Arabidopsis thaliana: one gene and its partners. The protein of the gene in region 2 interacts with the protein of the main gene of each other region in a pairwise test. Each region holds a gene or a part of one and is shown on either strand. Other genes may lie near its edges. The genes, in order: AT4G30500, ABCG20, AT5G52420 and AT3G13175.

Region 1 (6,188 bases), on a different chromosome or scaffold from region 2:
AATGAAACTAATAGATTTTAGTTGTTAATCACAGAGTCTGTTATTACATTACCTACTGATGGTTCTGTCTTTTGCGAAACCTAATTCGTTATCCACGCAGAGCTCAGTAACATCGTTCTTTCTTGATCTTGATGATGTTCTTGGACCCATCGATTTCGCCTCTGAGATTGTTATAATCTTTTCCAAAAGTTCTTGAGGATTTGCTTCAGCTGTACACAACAACCTCGCTCTGTTCTCATACATTACCTGCAATTCTTAAACCATCATTATCAGATTTTGATGAAATGGTTTGGTAGTGCCATCTTATAAGAACAAAACAAGAACCAGGAATTGCATACATCGACTAGCGTGACGAATCTATATGCAGCAGTACGGTTATGAAGCCCAAACACTGGAATTTCGTCCAAGGCAAGAGTATGAAACTTCTCTGCAACATCAAGAAGAAGAAGAAGCACTGTTTAGAGACAAGATTTGCAGATGAGAGAGAGACAAAGTAAAGTATCTTACTGAACAAACCGAAGTAATCCGCAGCTCCAAGAGGTCGGTCACATAGCTCTTCAAAAGGAAAGTATGCACATCCATTGGCACCTAATGGAATCTGTTCATGAAGCAGCATTTGGTCTGATGAAGAACTTATATACAGACAACACAAGTGTTGTTGGAGTTACACAGAGATTGGTATAATAAACTGTACCTGTAATTTTCTTCCCATCACCACTTCTACTACCTGTGGACGGGCAACAACATTGTCTCCAATCAATTGTCGGAACTTCTGTTTCAAAAGGGTCGAAAGATCTTTACCAATGAAGTAGAATCCTTGCTCAGCCTGCAAAAATGAAGAAGTGTCCCAGTTATTGAACTCAGCTCTACCTTGAAGCCAGTCTAGGGAGTTTTTAATGGGATTAAGAGCAATACCGAAGTTAGTTTCCGGTAATCAACCGCTGAACCGATCTCATGAACCACACTTCGTTCCTGCGAAAATGGAAATCTTGATGCAGTCTTTGAATTAAAAAGGTACTGAAAGTGGACTAATGATAGTAGATTAGACTACCTTCAATGAAGAAATGAAAGGTAGGAACAGATCTCTTTGGAGTCCTCCTTCATAGAGTTTATCAGGATTCCGATTCGATGTAGCAACAAGAATCTATATTTTATATAGCAAGCATGGACAAAAGTCAGTTTTAAGATGATTGTAGCAGCATAATGTAAGTAAAGATGACACTTACAACACCATTGCTAAACAGATGTCCAAAGAGTCGGTTTAGTATTAGAGCATCTGCAACATCAGTTACCTATAATAACAGAAACAGTAGCCGAAAAAATCAAGATGTGTTGATCCAAAGATGATCACTTTCAAGAAAATAAATATATGAAATAGTGTACATACCATGAACTCATCTAGACATAGTAAGATTGCATCATGAGCTATCTCTTGGGCAACAACTTCAAGTGGATCTGATAAACCCTTGTGCTTCTGCAAACATTATGAACCGAAATCAAACAACGTATCTCAAAAGGCTAAAGCTTTTCCTACTAAAATCAATAGAGAAACAATGGAAACTCAATTATCCATACTTGCAAGCGGCTATGAACACTCAACATGAAATCATGGAAATGTATCCTCTGCTTCTTCCAAGTACAAGGCCTAATGAAACAAGAGAATTGTCATGAAACCGCAATGCTCGAAAAAAAAGGATAAGAATTTGATCATACAAACTTACAGTTGATCAAAGAATAAGTCCATCAACATGGTTTTTCCTGTACCTACACCTCCATAAAGGTATAATCCTTTGACGGGTGAGTAAGAAGTCTGTGGCATGAGCCGAGACCAAAACCAACGACTTCTGTATTACACAAAAACACAGTTGTGTGAGACTCAAGTTCTCAATCCTAAACAGAGAAGGAAAGGTGTCAAGGCTAAGAGAACAGAACAATCACCTTGAGGATTTATCAGAAGTATTATACCGATCTAAACGACATGTATCTACTGAATCCACAAGCTCATCATATAGTCTCTGAAGCTCTCTCAATGCACTAATCTACAACATTTCAAACACAACCTTAAGCCGCAAGTAACACGAATCACATTTAATCTTATAGCTCAAAAGCTTCAATGAAGTAAAAAAGAGTGGCTATTATTTTTATCATACTTGGCAGATATCACCAGTCATGAGTTCACCATTACTGATTCTTCTCTCATACTCAACAAGAGGACCTGTTCTATTCACATCTGTCATCATTCAACAAATATCAGCAAACCAATAAACACGAACTCTGAGATTGATAGAATTTCTTTGCAAAGAGAAACAAAACCTGAGACGGTGACCCTAGTAGTAGCAGGATCAGCTGCTTCTACTGCTTCTGCTGATAAGCCTCTAAAGATACTTGACCTTGAATACAAACTTGAATTATCAGTGTTTGTATTCAGCAGAGCTTGATTTTGATTGACACCGATCAAAAGTTTGCGGCTTTTGGAGTAGAAAGTTGAAGAATAACGTTCTTGATTGTTCCTTAGAGCCCATCTAATTCTACTGAGAGATGATAACCTAATGATTGGTCTCATCTACGATCAATGCAAATTCAATTCAGCAGCTGAAACTTTGAGATACGGAAACAGAGCAAGAACAATAACCCAAGAAGAAAAACAGAATCTTTGTATGAGAGAAATCGGATCCGGATAAGAATTAGAGCACAAGAGGAAAAAGTGAATGAGAATATTGAAAAGTTAAGTTTGATGTTTATATGTAATGACGATGATAAATCTGGATAAGAGAGATAGAGAGAGACCCAAGAATAAACGGAGATGTAGTCAAATAAGGAAGATAGAGAAGAAGATCTTTAACTGTTAAACTCTTAAAACAGAGAGATAGAGGCGTGATTAATGAGTTATTTATCAACTAAGACACGTTTTTTATTTTTTTATTTTTATATACTTTCAATTTTTTAACCAAAATTGATTGTGTTGTACTTCTAATTACATTTGTTAATGTTGATTGCATAGTTGTTTTCCAGGTCATTAGAGGATTGTATTTGTCCCTTATTTAAGAGAGTTGACTATTTTTATTCCTATGAAAAAAGTAATTTCTTGATATATCTTTACCCTAATGATGTCTACAAGTCAAATTACAAATTTTATAAACAATTTTTAACATTTGTAATTATAGTATAGAATATTGGAAACGGAAGCTTCTCGATGTTGCGTTTGCGTACAGGATACTGGTGGACCTAGCGAATGTGTCCCATACATAGGCTAAGCATATTCCAAGTGGGAGAGAGATACGTGAATCAGACATGGTCCTTAAAGATGATCCAACGGTCTATAATTTTTCTAGTTTTGTTCTCAATGGGTAAGTTGAACAATGGACCTTAATGATGACATGTTGCATTGCGTATGATTCCACGTGTCCACGTCATTTCTTACACTGCAAACATGTCTTTTTCTGACCAACCCCTAACGCTACTTTTCTTTGATACATCTTTGTTTTTGCTATAATGGTGCTTGTTGACAAAATAATACTATGTTGAATTGACCTAAAACCATACTCAGATTGGGATATCCGAGAACCATTGTGTAAGACGTGATGTTTGATCCAAATATGGGCTACACTCAAATATTGGATATAGGCCCACAAGATATGATATCTTCATTTTTTTTTGTCTATAGAACAACATAAAACAGGGAAAAAAATTTACACTACTTTTGTTCTTGTTCCGTTATAAATATCGTTTTACCGATTGATCATAGAAATGGTATACTTTTTAGTTTTTGGAACAGCGGTAAAAGGTTTTATGTTGATGTCTTCTCCGAGCGCCGGTGATTTTCACACAGACCTTGTTATTGGAAAACTGAAATAATGCAGTTTTCTGTTGATAGGCCTTAAGATGTCAGATTTTATGGGCCTTTTAGGTTGTTCTGGCCCATTTAGATAGAACTGTTTCAGTTTTCCAACAACAACTGATAAGGATAGACGAAAGCCCAAATTAAGAATCTTTGTCCTAAACCCAAGGAAAAGCGTAATTACGACACGCAGCCAAACAAAACATTTCCTGCGTGAAAAAAGTATTTGAGAAAAGAGGACGACAAAAAGGTACAGGTGTCAATATATAATTGGATTAAACAAGCTTAGACACCTAAAAGTTTTCTCTCACACCATTTGTGAAGATCCAAAGCAAAAGAAGAATTACAGAAACTGAAAAAACTATCTTCCTCGTCTCTTTGATCATTCTCTTTTAACTCATGGCGAATCAAGGAGCAAAGAAGAGGAAAGATGAGAACGCTCGACACATGGCTAAGCTCCGTCTCATTATGATCCTTTGCAACGTAACTTCCTCGTTCCTCATTTCTTAAATTCTCAATACATTAATCCGTTGAGCTTAGATTTGTTTAGATACGTTACTTGTATCAATATGGAACTAAAAATCCGTTGAATTTGATCTTTAGGTCTCGAAAGTTTCAATGTTTAGCTGATTTTGTTTCGATGAATTCGAGGATTGATGTTTTTGGCAATATGTGTTTGCAGATTTTGTATGTCCTAGTGAGGGTTATAATTTCGCATTCAAGTCATACCTGGAAAAATTGGATTGGTCTTGTGTTAACATCGTTAGGTTACGGGATTCCATATAAGCTTCTTCATCAAATGGCAAAGCCTAGTGTTAGTGATGCTGGTGAACTTCTTGATGGTGGATTTGACATGAGCACTCCTGGAATGTGTGGGTACGTTCGGAAAGATTTGTCTTTTAAATTGATCAACTAGAAAGTGCCTGCTTTTGTCTCAAGTGTTTCTGTATAGTTGGATTCTGTTTCCATAACCAAAAGCAATAGTAGGAGGACTGTTTCATTATCAGTTGTTTGAAATGAGTGATGTTTTACTAGTTGTGGCTTTCTCCGAGTTTTATCGTTTATCAGTTGCTACATAATCGTCATCTTTATGGTGGATTGGATTTATGGTAGATTCTATAGTATAAGCCTGATGCTCTATTCTTCCTTGCAGATATTTGCATGATGTACTCTACATCACCTGCTTTGTGCAGGTCGGATCTATCATCTCTGGAAAGTTTTGGTACGCGTATTTAGTGGTATGATACCCATCTCAATTTTCTTTATTGCCATATTTTAAGGCAAACAACAGATTTGCTCTGTAGGAATGATGCAACCATTTACTTTTGCTTGTTTTTATTTTAGATCCCTGCATTTGGAGCATACAAAGCTTCTGGTCTTATTAAGGGACTATTGTCACATGGTTCAGAGGTAATCACTTTGTCTTGAATACTCTCAAAGTGCTTTGAACAAGGGGGAAATAAAACATGATCATTTAAAATGGACTGTGTTTTGTCTATATGACTGAACTTAGGGAGGTGTTGAGGATGAGAAGACTCGCAAAAAGAGGGAGAAGATGGAGAGAAAAGCTTCTAGAGGACAAGTCGTTAAGACAAGATCTCGATGAATGTCTTAAACATTCATCTTTAGCAAACACAATTAGCAAATCTTTCTTCAAACATACAAAATGCAAATCAATGGGTAAATACTCTTGACTTTGTAATGTACCTGTCTTTACACTATTTTGACTTAATGGATGTGTTAAGATGAAGTAGACTAATAGTCTTGAGTAGGATACAGTGAATTCTCATAAGATAAAAGACTTTTGCTCTTTGGATTATGATGATGTTATGACTTGTGAGCCATTAGACCGACAAATGATCCTGACTTGAAAATTCTGATTCATAGCTAAAGAGCCTTGACTGTAACTATGGAGTAAGTGGGATATGATGGAAAGAGTTGGGAAACCATTTTGTATTTCATTTCTTCAACACAAATCAAGATTAAGATACAGTAATAGCACGGAAGAGCTAATTATATTTGCGAATAACCAAAGAACATGAGACTATAAACATATTCTTAATGAACCCAAGGTACAAAAATTGTTACATACAAAAAAGTTGCCCAGTACTTTCATATATTTGATATTTGGTTGTATACATCACCCGGTGGTTATGGAGAAGAGATTGAATTCACGTTCCAGTGTCCATAGAGACTCATTCTTGTTATTGATACTTAGCGTATACTCCTGGAAATATCCGTTATAAGTGATCACCGATACCGTTGCTCTGAAAAGAACGTGAAAGGTAAAAGATTATCAAAACTTGTCATGTAACCATGGTTTCAAAATGAAGATATCCTAAAATCTTAC
Region 2 (7,391 bases):
TAGCTTCCACCCTGCCTGGAGAATTATAATCCAAAAGAGATATGAGAAGAAGCTTAAAGAATAGAACAAACTGTGGAAAAACAAAGATTCAAAGATTTAGTACCTGGCCTTCTTTGGACTAGGACTGTTTTTGCAGTTTCTCTCAATGTGTCCTCTTTCACCACAGCGGTAACATTTATTCTTCCAGTCTCCTGCTGTGCAGTCTCGGGCCCAGTGGCCATCGACACCACAATTAAAACAGCGACCAGAACCAGGAGGTGGGCCTCTGCTACCATTGTCCCGCGAACCACGAGGAGCCTATCATAAATTCAAAAGTTTGGCAAGATATCAGTAATTTTTCATCCAAATTATCAAGCCAATGGAGAATCGGTAATACAGACACAAATAACTAACCCCTCTTGATGCCTCCACAGTGATGCGACTTCCATCGAAATCCCGTCCATCCAAGTAATATCTTGCGTCATCAGCATCACGAGGATCACTAAATTCCTGTTCTCAAAATGTGAGGGACAATGATAGATGCATAACATATATATAAAGTTTGTGCGCATGACAAACTTGAGAATCAAACGCTTGAATAAAGGAAAAGGGTAATATAAGACTTACAACAAAGGCATAATCACGCTTCATATCCACATCTCGTACTCTGCGTAAATTGTTGCCAGAAAATCAAGGCCATCATTACTTAAGGAACTTCCAAACACCAGTTTTTGAGATTTGAGGCCATTTCCAATAAAAACATGCAATAAATCAACAAACAAAATCGCCGATGCACCCTCTATACACCAGACGAGAATTTCCACCAATTACACCACAGTCCACCCATTCATCAAACATCTCCAGGTTAGGCAAACCCCCAGAAACCTTCAACAAGATCATTCAAGTTAAAGAAAAAAAAATCCACTAAACCTAGCTCCACAATTTTCCCACATGTACCAATGCAACGTTATAAGTAAAAACTACCCTCTTTGATTCTAATGTTAAACTTTAGGTATATATCCCCTGCACAACATCAAAGAGGAATCATTCCAGATTCACACCAAAGAACAATTAACAAAAAATCCAAACACTTATCTCCCCAAGAATACAAAAGTCAAATTAGGTCAGTCAAGACAAAGGAATATGACTCTTTACCTTCCGTATCTGCTAAAGAGACGCTCAAGGTCTCTGGTACGAGTTCTAGATGATAAGCGACCAACATAGAGGCGAGTGTTTCCATAGCGATCATCATAGCGAGGCATTGTCAAGCTGCAAAATATTTTTAACATAAGCTATTAGGCACATATGTATATATATATATATATATGCCAATCACAAGAAAAAGAATAACAGTATCCTCTTCAAATTATATAAACAAGAAAAAGACCAGAGAGTTAAAACACTACCTCAGACCTAAACATAGAACCCATGTGAATATCTATGATTTTTCAGCAGAACACAAATCCAAAAACAAAGAAACCAAACTGAATAACACATTCAGAGGCGAAAAGAAGAAAATTTCGTGAGGGGAGAATATAAATCTCTAATCAGATTAGACAGAAGGAAACCTATAAAGGAAATCTACGGCGAGGAAACGAGAAACCAATTGAAATCCCTAATCTAGAGAGCGAAGAACAATAAAATCGTAACCCTAAACAGATCCAATTACAAAGATTCTTCCTCGTACCTGGAGAGACGAAGAAGGAGAGTGCAAATACGCAGTAACCCTAATAATTTCGAAACGAAGGAAGTGAACCGCGGATGATACTGCGATTAGTCTTCAACCCCTATCTTATAACTTGGAAACCGACGAGATTCAACGGTAGCGATTTGTTTCAATCAACGGTTTAGATTTCACGGCGAGATAAACGTCGATATTACCGATATAGAAAATAGAAAATTGCACACTTTCCAATTTAGTACTTTTATTGGGCCTTATATCAACTCTAAAGCCCATTAAAGATTTAGCAAACATATGCAATTTCGTATTAATCATAAGTATTAAGTACATCATAATCATTGGTCAAGTTACTCTAATAATTTTCTGTTTTGTAAATCAGCGACGCTTGTTCTTGCTTCCGATCAAGAGTGTGAAGTAGAAGAGAACCCTAAAGAAGAATCCCCAAGCTACAGTGATCCACAAGCAATTCCATTTGCTTATCTCCGTGATTCCTTGCTGTTTCAGTATATCGATTCCCGTCGTTACGCAAGTCTCCGCCGTCACGTTGATCCCCAAAACGCCGCTCATGCTCTTCAGGAGGCTGATTTTCACGGCGGTTGGAACTTGTCCCAGCGGCGAATTGTCGAACATCTGGATCCCTCTGACGAAGCATTTCGTCGGATCTTCGAATTCGTTCTGTAGAACACCTTCGTAAGGGTATTTCACTAGGGAGAGGTAATGGAACCAGATCCAGTAGAGTGGGATTCGATCTCTAGAGATGAAGAATCCGGAGAAGAGGAGGAAATAAGCGAGGATTGCTACAACCACCGTGAATCCGATCATCACGTGTGAGACTACGCCGGATAAGAACGTCACGAAGGAACTTCCGGCCCAAAACGCGGTGAGGATTGTGAAGAAGAAGAAGAGGAATCCCTCGGAGCCTCCGGCGAGTCCTACGGCCGAGAATGTTGAGGCGGCGAATGCGGCGGATAAGATTATGAGAGCAGGGATGGAGATTATTGTGTGAGCGAGGACGTATGATGATCGCCGGTAAGCGTTGTAAGCTGTTTCTCTCATGAATATGTAACGTTCCTGTAGAAAGACTGGTATTGCTTCTGCACATGTGTAGAATGTTGTGGACATTGCGAATGCGAAGAACCCTAAGCGTTCTTGTATACCTCTTGGTGAATTGTCTAGTTTCCAGAATATTGTGGCTAGGATCATTCCGGTGACTAGTACAGCTCCTAGGCGGATTCCGAATAGCTCTGGTTGTCTTCTTGAGTTTAGTATAGATCGTTTACCAATTACGAGCATTTCAGTCCAGAATGGGTTTGCAAAGGTTTGAAATGATGATCTTAGGTTTGTTGCTCCGGAGACAAGCTTACCTCTCGAGATACTTGCGCTGATTGCATCTTTGAGAGATACATTGGTGTTTCTTCTGCTCTGGCTTGAGGTTTGCTTTGCTCGCCATTGCTTGTGGAACTCGACTAAGGATTTCGTTCCTTCTGGCGAATCTTCCAGCTCACGGATAAGATCGAGTGCAAACTCCGGCTTGTTCTCGTTTTCAGGAATTGGGTGACCGAATTCTGAGAAGAACTGAGGGAGGTGTGTCGGGGAGCCGCTGTAAACGGTGTTTCCCCTAGATAGGAAGATTAACTTATCGAGTAATCCCAAGATTCTGTAACTCGGCTGATGGATGGACATGATAACTATGCTGCCGCTTTGTGCGATTCTCTGAAGCACTTTGACAACCATGTATGCACTGGTAGAGTCAAGACCAGAAGTTGGCTCATCGAGAAAGAGAATAATCGGGTCATGGATTATATCGGTTCCAATTGAGACCCTTCTCCTTTCTCCTCCAGACACACCTCTGTGTCCCTCATCACCGATCACGGTTTTTGCTGCGTTCCTCAGGCCGAGCTGATCAATCAGAGCTTGAACCCGTGCCTTCTTTTTCTTCTTAGAAAGCGAGCTTGGAAGCCTGAACTCAGCAGAAAACATCAACGTCTCTTCCACGGTGAGCATCGGGAAGAGAAGATCATCTTGCATCACATAAGCTGATATGACTTTATGCAGGCTAGATTCAAGAACTTCCCCATTTAAAGTAATATCACCGCGTAGGCTCTCTTTTGAAATCCGATTGGCTAATGCATCGATAAGCGTTGATTTCCCTGACCCGCTCGCTCCAAGAACAGCCATCATCTCTCCTTCCCGGGCTTCACCAGAAATACCATTCAGGAGCACCTTAGTATTCATCTCCATATCATTACCATCAAAAGGTGAATTCCCACAACAAGGAAAGGGCTTAAACTTCTTCTTGATCTTCACGCTGTAAGTCAAGTCTTTGAAGGAAAGAACAAACGGAGAAGAAGAAGGCACACGAGAAGACGGAACCGAGGACCAGAAATTGGACGCAACCGCAATATCCATAGCCCGACTCTGGTCATCCCCCTCATCTTCCACACTCATGAGAAGTTCTGCAAGTGTGACAGACACCCGCGCAGTGTCTCTGTGACATCTCTGAAGCTCCACTGACTTGTGGATATTGTAAAACAGAGGGAGGCCATCGCCATTGACCCGTTTGGCCGGAGATAATATACCGAACAAACCAGACATCACGTGAATTATTGTCTGGTTAATGTTTTGGCCTCAGGTAATGTGTCTAAAGGTCTTACCCACAGAACAATTTTGATCGACTTTATAGGATATTTGGATGGGAGAATGAGGGAGAAACTTGTCAATTAGTTTGGTGATCTCTAAGTATCTAACTTTGAGTTGTTCTGGGTTTTGTAGCTTTTCATATTTACATGTACATAGCTTTTGTTTATATTTTCGTATGTATATAAATTGTAAGTTACGAGTAGGTGAGGAGTTGGGCAAATCCATCCACATTTTTCCGTTATTGTATGTATTTTTTCTTGGGGCTTAAGGTACTCTGTAAAAAAATCCTATTTTAGGTGGTTTTTGTTTACAAAGTGGAAAAGTTTACTCCATGGAATTACGTGTTTATTTCATCTGTATATAATGTATCCGGAGTTTATGGAATTGCAATAAGTATAGCTTATGTAACATGTCAGGAATAGAATTTCTCCTTGCACATGTATGTATGTCACGAATTTCTTAATCTCCTTTTGTTTATTATAGTCACGACCCGCGAGTTTTCTATAATCACTTACAAGCTCTAAGACTTGTTTTTTGGTGCGTGAGACAATAATTGACTAGGGGTTAATTGGATTTCCAACTATTTTGAATCAGTGAATATCTTCGTACAGTAACTAAAGCACGCTACGAATATACTGTTTGTTGTATCAAAATCAAATCATCCAACATTTTGAACATTTATTTAGCGGTTACTAATTAACTTTTGCAATTAGTTAATATCAAACACATAAGATATTCTCATAATTAGGATTTGGCATGGTACTATACTAAGATTGTACAAAGGCATGCCATTATGCATAATGAAGCTAATGGCGTGTTATCTTTCAATTGTTTGTTTAATCATGCACACCATTTTCGTCATATAAAAAAGCGTAAGTGAAGCCTATTTCATTTCAAAAAAAAAAAAAAAAAATTATAAGGATCATTGATTTGTACTTTTGTAGTTGGTGAAACAAAAAGGAAATGAATGTGAAAATTATGGCAGAAAAACGTGCAGATGTTCGGCTTTGATGTTGTAGAGCTACACACGAAAACACAACAAAAATTGTCATTAGGAATATGTAATGGAAACTTTATATAACGTGATGAGTTAGATTTAGGCATATGGAAGTTTGGTGTAGCTGTTATATCTGTTTTCTTGATTATTTTACTTTTGATAACCCATTTTTACAAGAGTTGTCAAGAAATAATAGAAAACTATATACTTAGTATCATCAGCTTGTCTCTATCAAGTTGAACTAATGATTTATCCAATGAAATACATAACATTTCTTATGGAATGTACACTTTCACACAGAGAATGAGTTTATATTATTCTGGTTAAGTTTAGTAAGACTTTCTTTATGTAAAGATTGTTTTGAAATTTTGTGTTTGGTAGAGGATATTTTGCTAAGTTTCCCAACATAATTTTGTTAACACTTTGAGATTTATCAGGTAGGACTAGATCAAGGAATTGAATCCCTCAGGTTTGAGATTTCGTTCAATGCTAATATTTGTTAAATCGTACGAGAAATTTTTACTCTCGTCTGTTGAGTAACAGCATGAGAGAGTTTTCATTCAAAAAAAAAAAAAATAGCATAAGAGCATATCTCTAGGCATAACATTTTGTGGGCTATTAAGGGGCCAAACTTGGGCATCCAATTGTTAAAAGCCCATATTTTGTAAGCCTCGAGGAGTTTTTTTTGTTTGTTTCCACATTTGCCTAAAGTTTTGTATATGTTCATTGAATAATATACAAATCAAACGCAAATCACATTAATGATCCCCTCAAGAATATATATATAAAAAATTGCATATATTATTAAACAATTAGTGAAATTACTTAATTAGATTATCTGATAATCACATATAGATTTTAGAAGCGAAACATATATATTTGCTCTATAACTAAAACAAAATAAAAATAAAAAAGAGAGCGAAGGATTGCATCAAGTAATCGCCGTGTAACTAACTACTTTTGCATTCACCATCGCTCTTACGTTTGAATCTATCCAGATCCAAAGCTCTTCTTCTTCCCGGCAATTCTGAGATCTCATTTTCACCGGCGACGAGCTTTAATCGGAGAACGATGAAGCAGCTTCACAAGCAAATGAGCTCGAAGCGTGATGAAGAAACCATTCCCATGAGCCAATCCAGTCCTTACTCTCCCAAAACTTTAAAGCATCCCAGATCTCTTCCCAGATCGCTTCACTATCTCTTTCGTGAACAACGACTCCTCTTTATCCTCGTCGGGATCTTGATCGGATCCACTTTCTTCATCCTCCAGCCTTCTCTCTCTCGTTTAGGCGCCGCTGAGTCCACCTCGTTAATCACCAGATCTGTTTCCTACGCCGTCACCGATTCCCCGCCTTCCAGGTCGACTTTTAATTCCGGAGGCGGCGGAGGTAGAACCGGTCGTGTTCCCGTCGGTATCGGACGGAAGAGACTGAGGATTGTTGTCACCGGTGGAGCTGGTTTCGTCGGTAGTCATCTTGTTGATAAGCTTATCGGTAGGGGAGATGAAGTGATCGTGATTGATAACTTCTTCACTGGTAGGAAGGAGAATTTGGTTCATCTATTCTCGAATCCTAGGTTTGAGCTAATTCGACACGATGTTGTTGAGCCAATCCTCCTTGAGGTCGATCAGATTTACCATTTAGCTTGTCCAGCTTCACCTGTTCATTACAAGTATAATCCAGTCAAGACTATCATATCCTTTTGATTACGGGTCGTGATTTGCAAGTTCTGATTCTAAATCCGTTATACAAATTTAGGCAACATTAGGTTGGTGATCATTGTTATTAGCATCCTGTTGATAGGCATTTGACAATTGACGTGCAGCTTAGTAGAATCTCTTACAATTATTGTGATATTTCGTGATGAAATGTTTCCATTGGGAATGTGTTTTTCTCTATTGTTGATATGATGATTCTGGTTGATCCTTAACCATAGTTTTACAAGACAAATGTAATGGGCACTCTCAATATGTTGGGTCTTGCAAAGAGAGTTGGGGCAAGGTTTCTGCTCACCAGCACAAGTGAAGTCTATGGAGATCCCCTTGAGCATCCACAGAAAGAGACTTACTGGGGAAACGTGAATCCAATCGGTGAGT
Region 3 (5,676 bases), on a different chromosome or scaffold from region 2:
GAACAAAGCCAAAGACCTCAAAATCAAAACTAAGTCTAAAGCAGAGGAAGTGTGGAGACAAACGAGCTTGAGGGCTGATGAGATCAGAAATATCTCTATAGTGAAGGCTAAGGAGACTGTGGAAGAGTTTAAGGACAGAGTCGGTAAACTCGGCGAGAAATTCAAGTCGAAGTAGGTTTATGCGGTTTGGTTGAAGATTAAGATTTGTTAGATAAAGATGCAAAACAATGAACTGTCTTAAATTCCAAAACCGGAAAGCTATGAGCCCCAACTTAGATAGATGACTACACTGATTATATGATTGTGGTCTTCGCCAGTTTTTACTACTACCACCATTTAGTCTTTGAATCCATTCTACAAGCAATTGAAGAATAAATATGGTATTGGATCAACTTCAAATTTTGAAACATGATAGGAAATTAAGTTGAGTCTCACTAATTTTTCTTAATATCTGACCATATATTTAAAATTAGTTACCAAAACCTTGGCAGTAAATTTTTAGTTAGATATGATAAAAGATACTATTGTTTTGATTAAAAAAAGGTAGAGATGATGAGATTTCTATGTTGAATTCAAAACAATAAAATAAATATTAGCTAAGATATCACGAAGTGATAAAGATGAATCTTTGATTAAATCACATTAAAAGTTGAAAAACGATATCATAAGAGATTTTGTGTTCTCTATATGTAACGCTATCTGGCAACATTCTTTCTGCTTTCCAATAAGGTTCATGAAGAATGGGTAACACAATTTCGAATGCAACAACGTTATCATACGGTGAAACGACATGCTCAAATCCAACTTCTACGATTGCGAGCAGTTTCACGGAACATCCTCGCCTTCTTGCTATTCTGTCAAGATTGAGAATCTCGCACAACTTAACAATGAAAAATACCAATCTCGTCGTTTCACGGTAGGCGGGTATTACTGGTATGTAGCTATAATCTTGCTCTTATATATTACCATTTATGTTTTATGAGACATGTAACACATATAGACCATGATTTTACTATGTACACATTAGCTCCTGAAGGGTTAAATTAAATCTTCATCATAAGAAAAGAACATGAATCTTTCTTACTTTATGCAATAATATTTCTGTTAAAAAGAAAACCTGCAGGAAATTGATTATATATCCAAAAGGGAACGACGAGGACCATGGAAGTGGTTATATTTCAATGTACGTAGAAATAGACAGCACATCTGAAGTTTTTGCATATGTCAAGTTCTTCGTCTACAATAAGAAAGAACAAATGTACTTTACTATTCAAAGTTGTTGGTTTAAAACATATCTATATTATTCAATATTTATATTAACTATATAAGACTTGTTCATTTGTCACATATGTCACGTTGAATTACTCCATTTTTTCTAATAGATACTGAAGTAAAGCGTTTCAATGCTTTAAGAATGGTATGGGGATTCTCTCAAATGCTTCCTCTCCACTTATTCGAAAATCCAAAAAATGGATATATATTCGACGGGCAAAAATGCGAGTTTGGTGTTGAAGTGATGGTTGTTCCACCCCTTACCAATTGGGAAGTGATGTCTTTTGATCAGAAACTCTCACCATCCACATTCTCCTGGAGTGCCAATGGTTTCTCCTTATTGACAGAGAATCTTTATGTGTCAAACAACTTTTCAGTTGGAGGAAGAGAATGGTGAGGCTAATAAGTCATTGAATATATATACACGTCTATGTATGCTAAGTGTATACAAAATAATGTGACTTTTCTATAGGTGTTTGAAGATGTATCCAAAGGGAAGAGAGGCAGATGGCAAATGGTTGTCCTTATTTCTGCATATATATAGCTGATAGTGAAACCTTTTCGGAGGATGAGAAGATTTACGTGCATGCAGATCTCCGAGTATTATACCCACGTCCACATGTATACAACAATCACGTCACACAGAAACGTATAATTAACTTTGAAACACAATTTTCTATATTCTTGAATAAATCACTTAGTTGCTTTTTTCAAGTCTTAACTAAATTTTCAATACCTTACATATATTTATTTTTCTTGCAGTTAACGTCTGTTACAAGAAATCAACTCAAGGGTGGGGTTGCGAAGATTTTGCGGCTATAGCCATCGGGAGTGTAATTACTTGGACAATGACACTTTGACATTGGAGGTCGAATTTAAAGTTGTTTCTACAACCAAGTATTCTCACCCATGATCTAAGCTCTTCTTGTAGAATATCTACAATATTCCATATTCTACTACAAGTCTAGTAATCTACAATGCCTTGTTTCATACGATTTCTAGTAATTAGTTCCTTTTTAGTTAAATCAATTCTACAGTTTATGGTTCCGGATTCATTTCCTGCTAACTAATTATATCATTTTTTATAACTAGTAATCATTGAAGCTTATAATTGAAATCTATAACTACAAAGCCTAGTGCACTTACGTCCAGAAAGCCAAAATAATTAGGCTTCCTATTAACACATATATTTATATGTTTCTTAAGAACTTTTACGAAATTACCTGCATGTAGTTAAAATAATAAAATCTAAACTAATTGTGAGCACAACAATAATCCGCCACGTCTTCTAAACCTCTTCCATTCAAAACTCTTCACTATCCGCCACGTGTCCCCTTCTTCACACTCTTTTTATCTTCCTCCACCTCTAAAACTTTCTCACCACATTTTCCCGAGAAAACAAAAAAAAAAAACTTACACCAAAACGATGTCTGGAGGTGTCGGTCCAACGTACAACGACATAACCTTACCCAAAGAAGAAGAAGAAGAACATCAAACCCAATCCACCTCAACAGTATCATCCACCGGAAAACCCGCCGGATTCTTCTCATTCCGACAACTAAACATCCTCGCAATAATCATCGTTCTCTCCGCAAGTGGTCTCGTAACAATCCAAGATTTCATATTCACGATCCTCACTCTCATCTACTTCTTCTTCCTCTCGAAACTTATCTTCCCACCACACAACAATCCAAACCGTGACGCTCCTCTCACAAGCTCCACAAACAAAATCTTCCGTATCTATGTTACAGCGGCGGGGATCGTCGGGCTTATCATTCCGATCTGTTACATCTTCGAAGGAATCGTTGAGGATGATAAGAACGGTGTTAGCGCAGCTGCACCGCACGTGTTTCTTTTAGCGAGTCAGATTTTTATGGAAGGATTAGCGACCATGTTTGGCTTCTCTGCTCCGGCGAGGATTCTTGTTCCGATTGTTTACAACGCCAGGAGGGTTTTGACTCTTGTGGAGTGGATTATGAGTGAGTTCTCGAGGGAGGATGTGACGGGGACGGTTTCTGCGCGGCGGATGTATGCCGGGAAAGTTTTGGCGGCGGCTAATTTAGGGATTTGGTCGTTTAATCTCTTTGGTGTTTTGATTCCGGTTTATCTACCCAGAGCGTTTAAGAGGTATTACGGTTCTGATAAGGAGGATTGAAATCCCGGTTTAGTTCCGGTTCCAATAAGGAGAGTCAAAACCCGGTTTAATTCCTTTGTGGTTCACAGCTCTTGTTGTTTTCCCTTTTTGTTCTGTATATTATTTCGATGTTTTCTTTTGAACAATTCAGTTTATGTAGTAGTTCACAGTTGTATTAGATTTCTTACGATAATAACCGAATCTATGTTTCTGAAAGAACAGAAATGAAAATGTTTTAGTAATGATATAGAATAAGACCATTCACGATCTCAGTTCAAACAATATATTTGTATGAAACAGTAAAACAAGAAATAAACAATTTATATCAATGTAACAAGATTAGATGTAGGAGCTGATCCAAGAATATTCCAAAGTTTCCAACTACATGAGTACAGAAGTTAACTGCAAATCAAAGCTTTAAGCTTATTTATTCAGTGTGTATAAGTTGTTAGAACCCAAATCTCTTACCTTTTTTCACGATCCATGTTCAAGGTTTGTTACTTATAGGGTTTTATATCTCTGTCTTTGGTAATGAGGAAGAAGAAGAAGAGATGTCATTTTAATTTGGTTAGCTGACTCCAGATCGTAACCCCGGGAAGAAACTCCAGCTGTTTCCTGCAACCTTCTCGATATTCTCGTCTTTCGTGTTGTCGAATTTAAATTCTTTGCTAGATCCAATCGATGAGGAACTCAGCTTCTGAATTCTATGCTGTTCGTTCTCTCTGTCTCCTGACCTTTTCTCTATGTTTCTTCTTATGTCTGTTGATGAACTCTCCTCTGTTTCGATCCGGTCATTGTTGTTCATTCTGTCGTGTGATCGATTTAGCTTGCTTGCAAGACAACGTGCAACGTCTTCACCTGTTAACTCAAACGAAACTCTGTGATCTGCTACCATGACTTCAGAGCCATGATCCGAATTTGCCAGTGAAGCGACCTCAGAGATCTGATTTTGAAGAGGCCATGTGGTATTGTTGGGTGTTAAGTTTCCAGATACTATCTCTGGACCATTTGGTGTCAGAGCGCCTGAAGCCAAACCTGAACCATGCCCAACAGGTGTGATCGATCCAGAACCGAACCTCGATCCCCATTTACGAGCTGTAAAGTGCTCAAAACCCAAGAACTTTGGAGGCTCGCCTATTCGAAACTCAACCATGGGTGATTTACCAGGGTAAGGAGAAGATGTACCAGAGTTTGAAATCACTGACCCGGGAGAGATTAGATTACCACCACCAGGACTCCCCGGACACACCTGATTAGACCGAAACTCATAGTGCGAAGACGAAAACTTTTGATTCATCCCACTAGTACTATCCCTCCGAGTTAGCTCCAACGAAGAAGTAAGCAACTGAGCAAAGGGCACTTCAGGTGAAGAAGGTGTAGTTATATGGACTGATGATTCAGGAGGTGGAGTATACGGTGCAGTAGATGGCTCAGTTATAAACGCAGAGAACACCGGAGGAGTGACTGGTTGAGTTTCATTAGCATAAGGTCCAACGGTAAAGACAGATTGAGGCTCCTTAGGCGAGAATGTATTGCTAGTAAGAGAAAGTGGACCAACAGGCGAGTGAGAAACCGATGAAGGATCCGATTGCAAAAACGAAGCTGGAGATGAAGGAGGAGCTATAAAGGGAAGAACAACAGTAGTTGAAGTAGCTGAGTTTTGAACAGTAACTACCGGAACTCCAGATGTAACCGGTTCAGGTACAAGCACAGCATTACCAATCCTTTTATTGTTCTTCTGAGTTCCAAAACATGAATATAAACTCCAACATTTTCCCCATCTTCCCTTCTGTACAAATTAAACACACAAAATTAGACTCATCTTGATCCCCTTTAGAGAGAACTGTTTCAACAAAACTTTCTCAAAGTAAAAGCTTTTGATAATAAAGTTAATCTTGTTTAGTTTCTAATAAGTAGCTAAACGTTTGTAATTCACTTTTGGAGAAATTTATACTATCCGTGGAAAATTAACCAAACATGAAATAGAAACGCTTTTAACCTTTTTAATCATGGATGCTATTATGACTTGTAAAGCCAATCCACAAAAAGATTGAAAAAGCAACAACGCATCTTTTTACCTTTTTGAGACCACAATTGTAATCCAGAGAGAACAAATCAAAGTCGTGAAATCAAGAACTAAGCTCACCATTAGCTCTGATCTAGAATCGTAATCAAAATCAAAACACCAAAATCGCAAATTCAAATCACATTCACTACAGTTTCGTAACTATGAGCTAAATCAAAACAGCAAAATCGCGAAATTCAAAACT
Region 4 (5,239 bases), about 16 Mb from region 2:
TTTTCGAAGCATGTCTATTTTCTTGCAGAAGTTGTTGGACTATCAACAATACTCTTAGCAACATATCTGAAAGTAAAAACACCGCAATGTGATGCTATATTAAGATAACACTAATGTACTTGTAGAATTATCTGAAACCTGACTCACCGATTCTGTAGGTTTGTGGTTCCTTCTTAAGAGTGAAAATTTCCTGACCCTTTGGTTTATCAGAGCTGCATAAGCTATAGACAGCAGAATAAAATGGTAAATTCATGAGGTCTTAGTTTTCAATACTCGTTGACGTTGTGCTTAAATCCTTCAAAAATGTCTCGAACCAAAGACCAAACACGTCTGATTCTTCAATCAAAGAAAGTGAAAACAAAATTGAATAATCGAGATCGAAGAGAGACAAACCAATCAGCTTCTGGATTCATGCAATAGTTCCTGAATTGATTGATGGAAATTTTTGGAGATCTTCCTTCAGCCAGATCTACAACGACCGATTGAGTAAAATCTGCTCAAAAAACCGAAACATAGTGATGAACAACGGAAGAGCCAGCGAAGTCATCGACTAGAAATTTCGACATAGATTAGAGGACAAATTACTCAATACGATTCGGAAAATTTTGGGATTTTCTGATACCTTTGATCCTTTGAAGCAAATTAGTCGATTCTGAAATAGCGAATTTTCCCTCCATCTCTTTCGAGTTTCAAAACTGAAAAATGCAATGGTCGACGAATTTTTGTAGACGGGAAGAAAAGGGATGGGTGCGAAAAGCTTGCCGTTAAAACCTTCGAATTTAAACATGCGTGTCGTTTAGTTCCTACTTTCCATGACGTTGGGCCATTGGCATTTAGGCCCGATACGTAACTGACGTGTCATTTTAAAAACGCATGTGTTTTTAAACACGTTGGGCCGTTGGCTTTTAGGCCCGATCCGAAACTAGGCAAAGTGATTGTGAAAAAGATTCATGATAACAATCAAACCAATATAAATCGATTTATTCAGACTTGGAGACATTTTAGTGATGCCAATATAAAATAATCATGTGCACTAAATTTGAAATAATTAATGTGTATGGTAAACTAGATTAGAATTAGTTCTAGACTTCTAGTGGTCGAGATTTGTTCATAAGCTTTATGCTCGGACACGTGAGGAACATACCAAAATGTTCGAATCTATTATGCCATACACTTATTTTAATCATTTCTTCTCTATGATAGATTGCTCACCTAATTTATATATAATCTAAGAATATACTACTTAGCTTTAACGTATTTTATCCGATAACGAATTCATGATACCAAAAAAGTTCTAAAACAAAAGAGGCATCTTGTATTATTTATAGTATTTCTAACTAAAACACAACACTGATAACATTTAAATTGCTTTGTTCCGTTTAATTAGTAAACAAATGAAAAGCTGTCGCGTCGGTGGTTGGGTTTCATTCGGAAAGATTTAAAAGTAAAGCGCACGGATTTTAAGGTCGTTCAACATTTAAATTTTTTTTGAAAGTAAAATCATATATCAATGCAATGTGTAATCTTGTAACGTATAAACTAATGAGAGATACCTAAAGAAAAGAAGCCTCGCGCCTAAACAGAAACATAAGATTAAAATAAGTAATATAGAAGCATAAACTTAAGCAAGATTTTATTCCTCGTGAAAATATTACATTTTGTAATTTTATTTTCTCTAGTATTAAAAAAGGAACAACTAATTAACGGAAATACTTAAGGAATTAAGAACAGAGAGGTCTCATACTTAGTCAAGTTTGGTGAAGCTATCAAAGAGAATGTCTTCGTGTTGTCCGCCGACGACATAGTCAAGAATCCCTTCCGCCGCCACTTTTAAGCCTGCGCCTTCGCCTGGGATGATGGTAGACGAAACCGGGAGATCGGAGGTGCGTGCGAAGAAGAAAACGGCAGCGAGAAAGAGAGCCGTGGAGAGAAAAAGTGGCCAGAAGTAAGATAGAACGGTGAGGAAACCGGGAGAATAAGCGACGAGAGCTACGGTGAGGAGAGATAAAACAAAGGCAAACACGATTTGCAACTTGAACTTCAAAAGCTTCTCCCGGAACTCCATCTCCGATCACCGACAAAGATCTGTGAGTCTGTGACTGTTGTGTTAACACGAGAAAGATGGAGTGAAGAGAGATAGAGATATATCTAAAAGAGAGATAGTACAATGCTAACTCTCTCTCTGTCTTTCCTCTGAGTGTCTATACGTAAAGAAATAGGAAAGATTCTCTGTGACAAGGATAACGTCAAAATCTCAAGTTATTTTGTTTTTAAACGCGTTTGAAAATTATACTGTTTTTCTTCTAACGAAAATGATAATATATTTTTAAGATTTTTATGTTACTTTGTTCTGTGACTTGTATGAACATTTTTTTTTTTGTAAAGTTGTCGTAAAAGTCAAAGAATGAAACATTTTCTGACATAAATAGTAAATCGTACAAAGCTAAAATAATGATAAGAGAGATATTTTCAATTCAGTTATAATGTTGTCCGTTTTGCATGATTGAATTTTTAACTTTGGATTCAGGCCGACCAAAATATGGGCCTTTAAAAGCCCGATTTGGGTTGCTAACAGACGACTACTCTTTTGTTAGAACTTACACGAGCCGCCGTTTCTACTTTCTAGCTCTGGCAAAACGGCGAGGCATTTTCTTTAAACATATCAACATACAATTAGCAGCATCTCTACAAGTTTACACTTCTCTCATAAAACCCAACTCTACGAATAAAAGAGAAGGTGTTTTCATTTATCCTCTTCGTCTAATTGCATCCAAACTCTCAGCAGAGACAAATACAGCTTGCTTTTAACGTCACAAGGCTCGAACCAGACGAGCTGCAAATGCTCCATCTAGTGAGTGTTTCACTGGGTTTGATAAAAAGAAGCCTTGTGAGGTTACAAAACTCGACGGTACAAAACTGGTTACTGGATCTATGGTGAATTCCTGTGAAAGCAGAGAGACTATTTGTTAATATCAACATCTGAAGGAAAGCAAATGGATTATAAAGATTCTTACAGGATGTCTTAAGAGAAATGCTTCGACCCTTCCTTCATTTTCCTCGGGGTCTATGGAGCAAGTACTGTATACCAACACCCCACCGTGCTTCACCAGTCTTTGAGATTCAATCAAGAGTGTCACAGATAAAAGTATCAGATAAGTCGCATATTAGTGTTTCAGAATTAATCAAATGACTCATCAAAATGTATGTACAGAGTGCATACTTGGAGGCAGAATCAAGAAGCTCATCCTGCAGTTTAGTGAGCTCTAACATGTCCTCAAGTTTACGGTTCCAGCGCAAATCCGCTCTCTACAAAATACAGATTAATGGGAACAGGTTAATCAGATCAGGTCAATTCAACTAGCAATGTTAAATCTTGCTGGCGAAACAGTTAGATAAACTTTTCTCATGTTAACCTTGGAGAGGACGCCGAGTCCAGAACACGGGGCATCAAGCAAAACTTTGTCATATTGTACTTCATTGGTTTCCTAAAACACATTAAGTTGGAAGGAAGCATGTGAGTAGCTTACAAACTTGGAAACTTCAGATACTCAAATAATGTTAACTTACAGCAAAGACACGAAGATCAGAATGAATGGTTGTGATAAGTCCATCAACTTGGTGTGATTTTGCTGTCTCACCAAGAATTCTTAGCCGTCCTTCATTCACATCCATAGCATATATCATACCTATAATCGATTCGAGTTTGCCAGTTTGAGGATGGAATCAGTCAAGTATAGTAGAAAAGTTTCTCAAAATAGATAATTTAATTCAACATTAATGTACAATAGAGGAAAATAAGGGGTCTTTGTAATATTACCTTGGCCTTTCAAGCAAGATGCCATGAATAGGGTCTTTCCTCCAGGAGCAGCACATGCATCCATTATCCTCTCGCCTGGCTGAGGTTTCACCACTGAGACTATTAGTCCTGCAGTACCAGATGTGGGGAGATATTTAGATATCAAAAGAACAAAAGGATTTTGGATAAACTTAAATCTGTTAACAGCATGAAAAATTAATGAAGAGGAGACTGTATCTTTTCTCAGGAGCAGTCCAAATAATTACAAGACCAAACTGACCTGCACTCTCGTCCTGAACAGAACAGATGCCTTCTTTGAGTAAACCAGCTTGCACAACGGTCTGTTAAAGAAAAGGCCCATGATCAATTATGAAACTTATCAGTAAAAAAACTAGGATAAGAAAATTGCCAACAAGAGGACAATTCACGGTTACATTACAACACCTGCAAGCCTGTTTTGATGCGGACAAATTCCTCCAAATGTAAGGATAGCTCGTGTGGAACCTGCAGCATAGGAAAGCCATAATTGAAGTAAGAAACTAAGCATTATAAGAAACAATCATGTGCCTGGTTTTACACAAACACGATGATTTCAACTGAATAAAGAACGAGAAACATTAAACGAAAAAAACCTTTAAACTGTTTAGACGCTCCACAAGGTCTGCTCTTGTAATGTCCCTTCCCGTATTGGCCCTGATATTATTAGAAATAGTATTATCTGTCTGACAGCTAATAACTTATCTTTCCTTCTGTGAATACAAAATGTTATGGAGATAAACCTTAAGCTAAATCCAGGATCATTGTTATTCCATATCATTAGCTTTGTGGCTTCATCCAACCCAAGATACTTTACCCATCGTCTAACCATCCACTAGGAAGGAAAGGAAACAAAATGAGAGTTTCTTTCATCAAACAGGAATGAAGCCTTATCGCAGTTGTTCAGCAATACATAGTTGTTCAGCACTACATAGATATCCTCATAGCTAAAACCAAGTAATCTAGGAGCTTCACAAGTTCAAAGTATCGATTTCATACCACCAACTAGCTCTAGCTTCGAATTAAAACAGCATGGAAAGATGAGGCTGTAGCTATACAAACTTACAACGGGATGTGAATGAAGAGTAGCAAGTGCACGTGCCTGTGCACGATCATCCCCTTCCACTTTGGGTAATGGAAGGGCATCTTTTTCCTGCAGATCCCTACGTCAGAATTCATAGAAGCTTAAGTTTGTTTGATTAAGTACAACTAAAAAGAAAAATGGAAAAAAGTTTAAGAAAGAGAAACCTTAAGAGAGACTAGTTTACGAAGAATCCCATTGACAAAATCTCCAGCACCAGGTCTGAGGGCAACCTTTGCAAGCCTTACGTTCTGATAATGAGCAAGTAAACAATAAAGATAAAGTAATAACGAATATCAGAAAAATCTTTGACCTCACTAAGTTAG

The links.
Region 1: the proteins of ABCG20 (region 2) and AT4G30500 interact in a protein complementation assay, tested with the Arabidopsis thaliana proteins (one large-scale study listed by BioGRID).
Region 3: the proteins of ABCG20 (region 2) and AT5G52420 interact in a protein complementation assay, tested with the Arabidopsis thaliana proteins (one large-scale study listed by BioGRID).
Region 4: the proteins of ABCG20 (region 2) and AT3G13175 interact in a protein complementation assay, tested with the Arabidopsis thaliana proteins (one large-scale study listed by BioGRID).

What each region holds. Positions count from the first base shown.
Region 1 is NC_003075.7:14,899,321-14,905,508, forward strand, and holds AT4G30500 (transmembrane protein (DUF788)), read left to right. Parts: upstream 1-4,030; 5' UTR 4,031-4,237; coding exon 4,238-4,321; intron 4,322-4,520; coding exon 4,521-4,714; intron 4,715-4,991; coding exon 4,992-5,076; intron 5,077-5,182; coding exon 5,183-5,248; intron 5,249-5,351; coding exon 5,352-5,444; 3' UTR 5,445-5,688; downstream 5,689-6,188. Other genes in the region: AT4G30490 (AFG1-like ATPase family protein), read right to left, coding at 53-246, 339-427, 508-598, 695-826, 916-972, 1,052-1,144, 1,227-1,292, 1,388-1,474 and 5 more; ATG18B (autophagy 18 B-like protein), read right to left, coding at 5,979-6,105.
Region 2 is NC_003074.8:19,835,267-19,842,657, forward strand, and holds ABCG20 (ABC-2 type transporter family protein), read right to left. Parts: upstream 4,718-7,391; 5' UTR 4,256-4,717; coding exon 2,036-4,255; 3' UTR 1,882-2,035; downstream 1-1,881. Other genes in the region: RS2Z32 (RNA-binding (RRM/RBD/RNP motifs) family protein with retrovirus zinc finger-like domain-containing protein), read right to left, coding at 1-15, 104-297, 394-489, 607-646, 1,135-1,241; UXS1 (UDP-glucuronic acid decarboxylase 1), read left to right, coding at 6,369-6,977, 7,232-7,385.
Region 3 is NC_003076.8:21,279,119-21,284,794, forward strand, and holds AT5G52420 (uncharacterized protein), read left to right. Parts: upstream 1-2,654; 5' UTR 2,655-2,698; coding exon 2,699-3,427; 3' UTR 3,428-3,688; downstream 3,689-5,676. Other genes in the region: AT5G52410 (oxidoreductase/transition metal ion-binding protein), read left to right, coding at 1-175; AT5G52430 (hydroxyproline-rich glycoprotein family protein), read right to left, coding at 3,975-5,195.
Region 4 is NC_003074.8:4,233,516-4,238,754, forward strand, and holds AT3G13175 (uncharacterized protein), read right to left. Parts: upstream 2,300-5,239; 5' UTR 2,066-2,299; coding exon 1,745-2,065; 3' UTR 1,560-1,744; downstream 1-1,559. Other genes in the region: ATSPO11-1 (Spo11/DNA topoisomerase VI, subunit A protein), read right to left, coding at 1-66, 148-221, 394-493, 623-677; AT3G13180 (NOL1/NOP2/sun family protein / antitermination NusB domain-containing protein), read right to left, coding at 2,811-2,942, 3,015-3,111, 3,221-3,306, 3,414-3,485, 3,568-3,686, 3,818-3,925, 4,077-4,137, 4,241-4,300 and 4 more.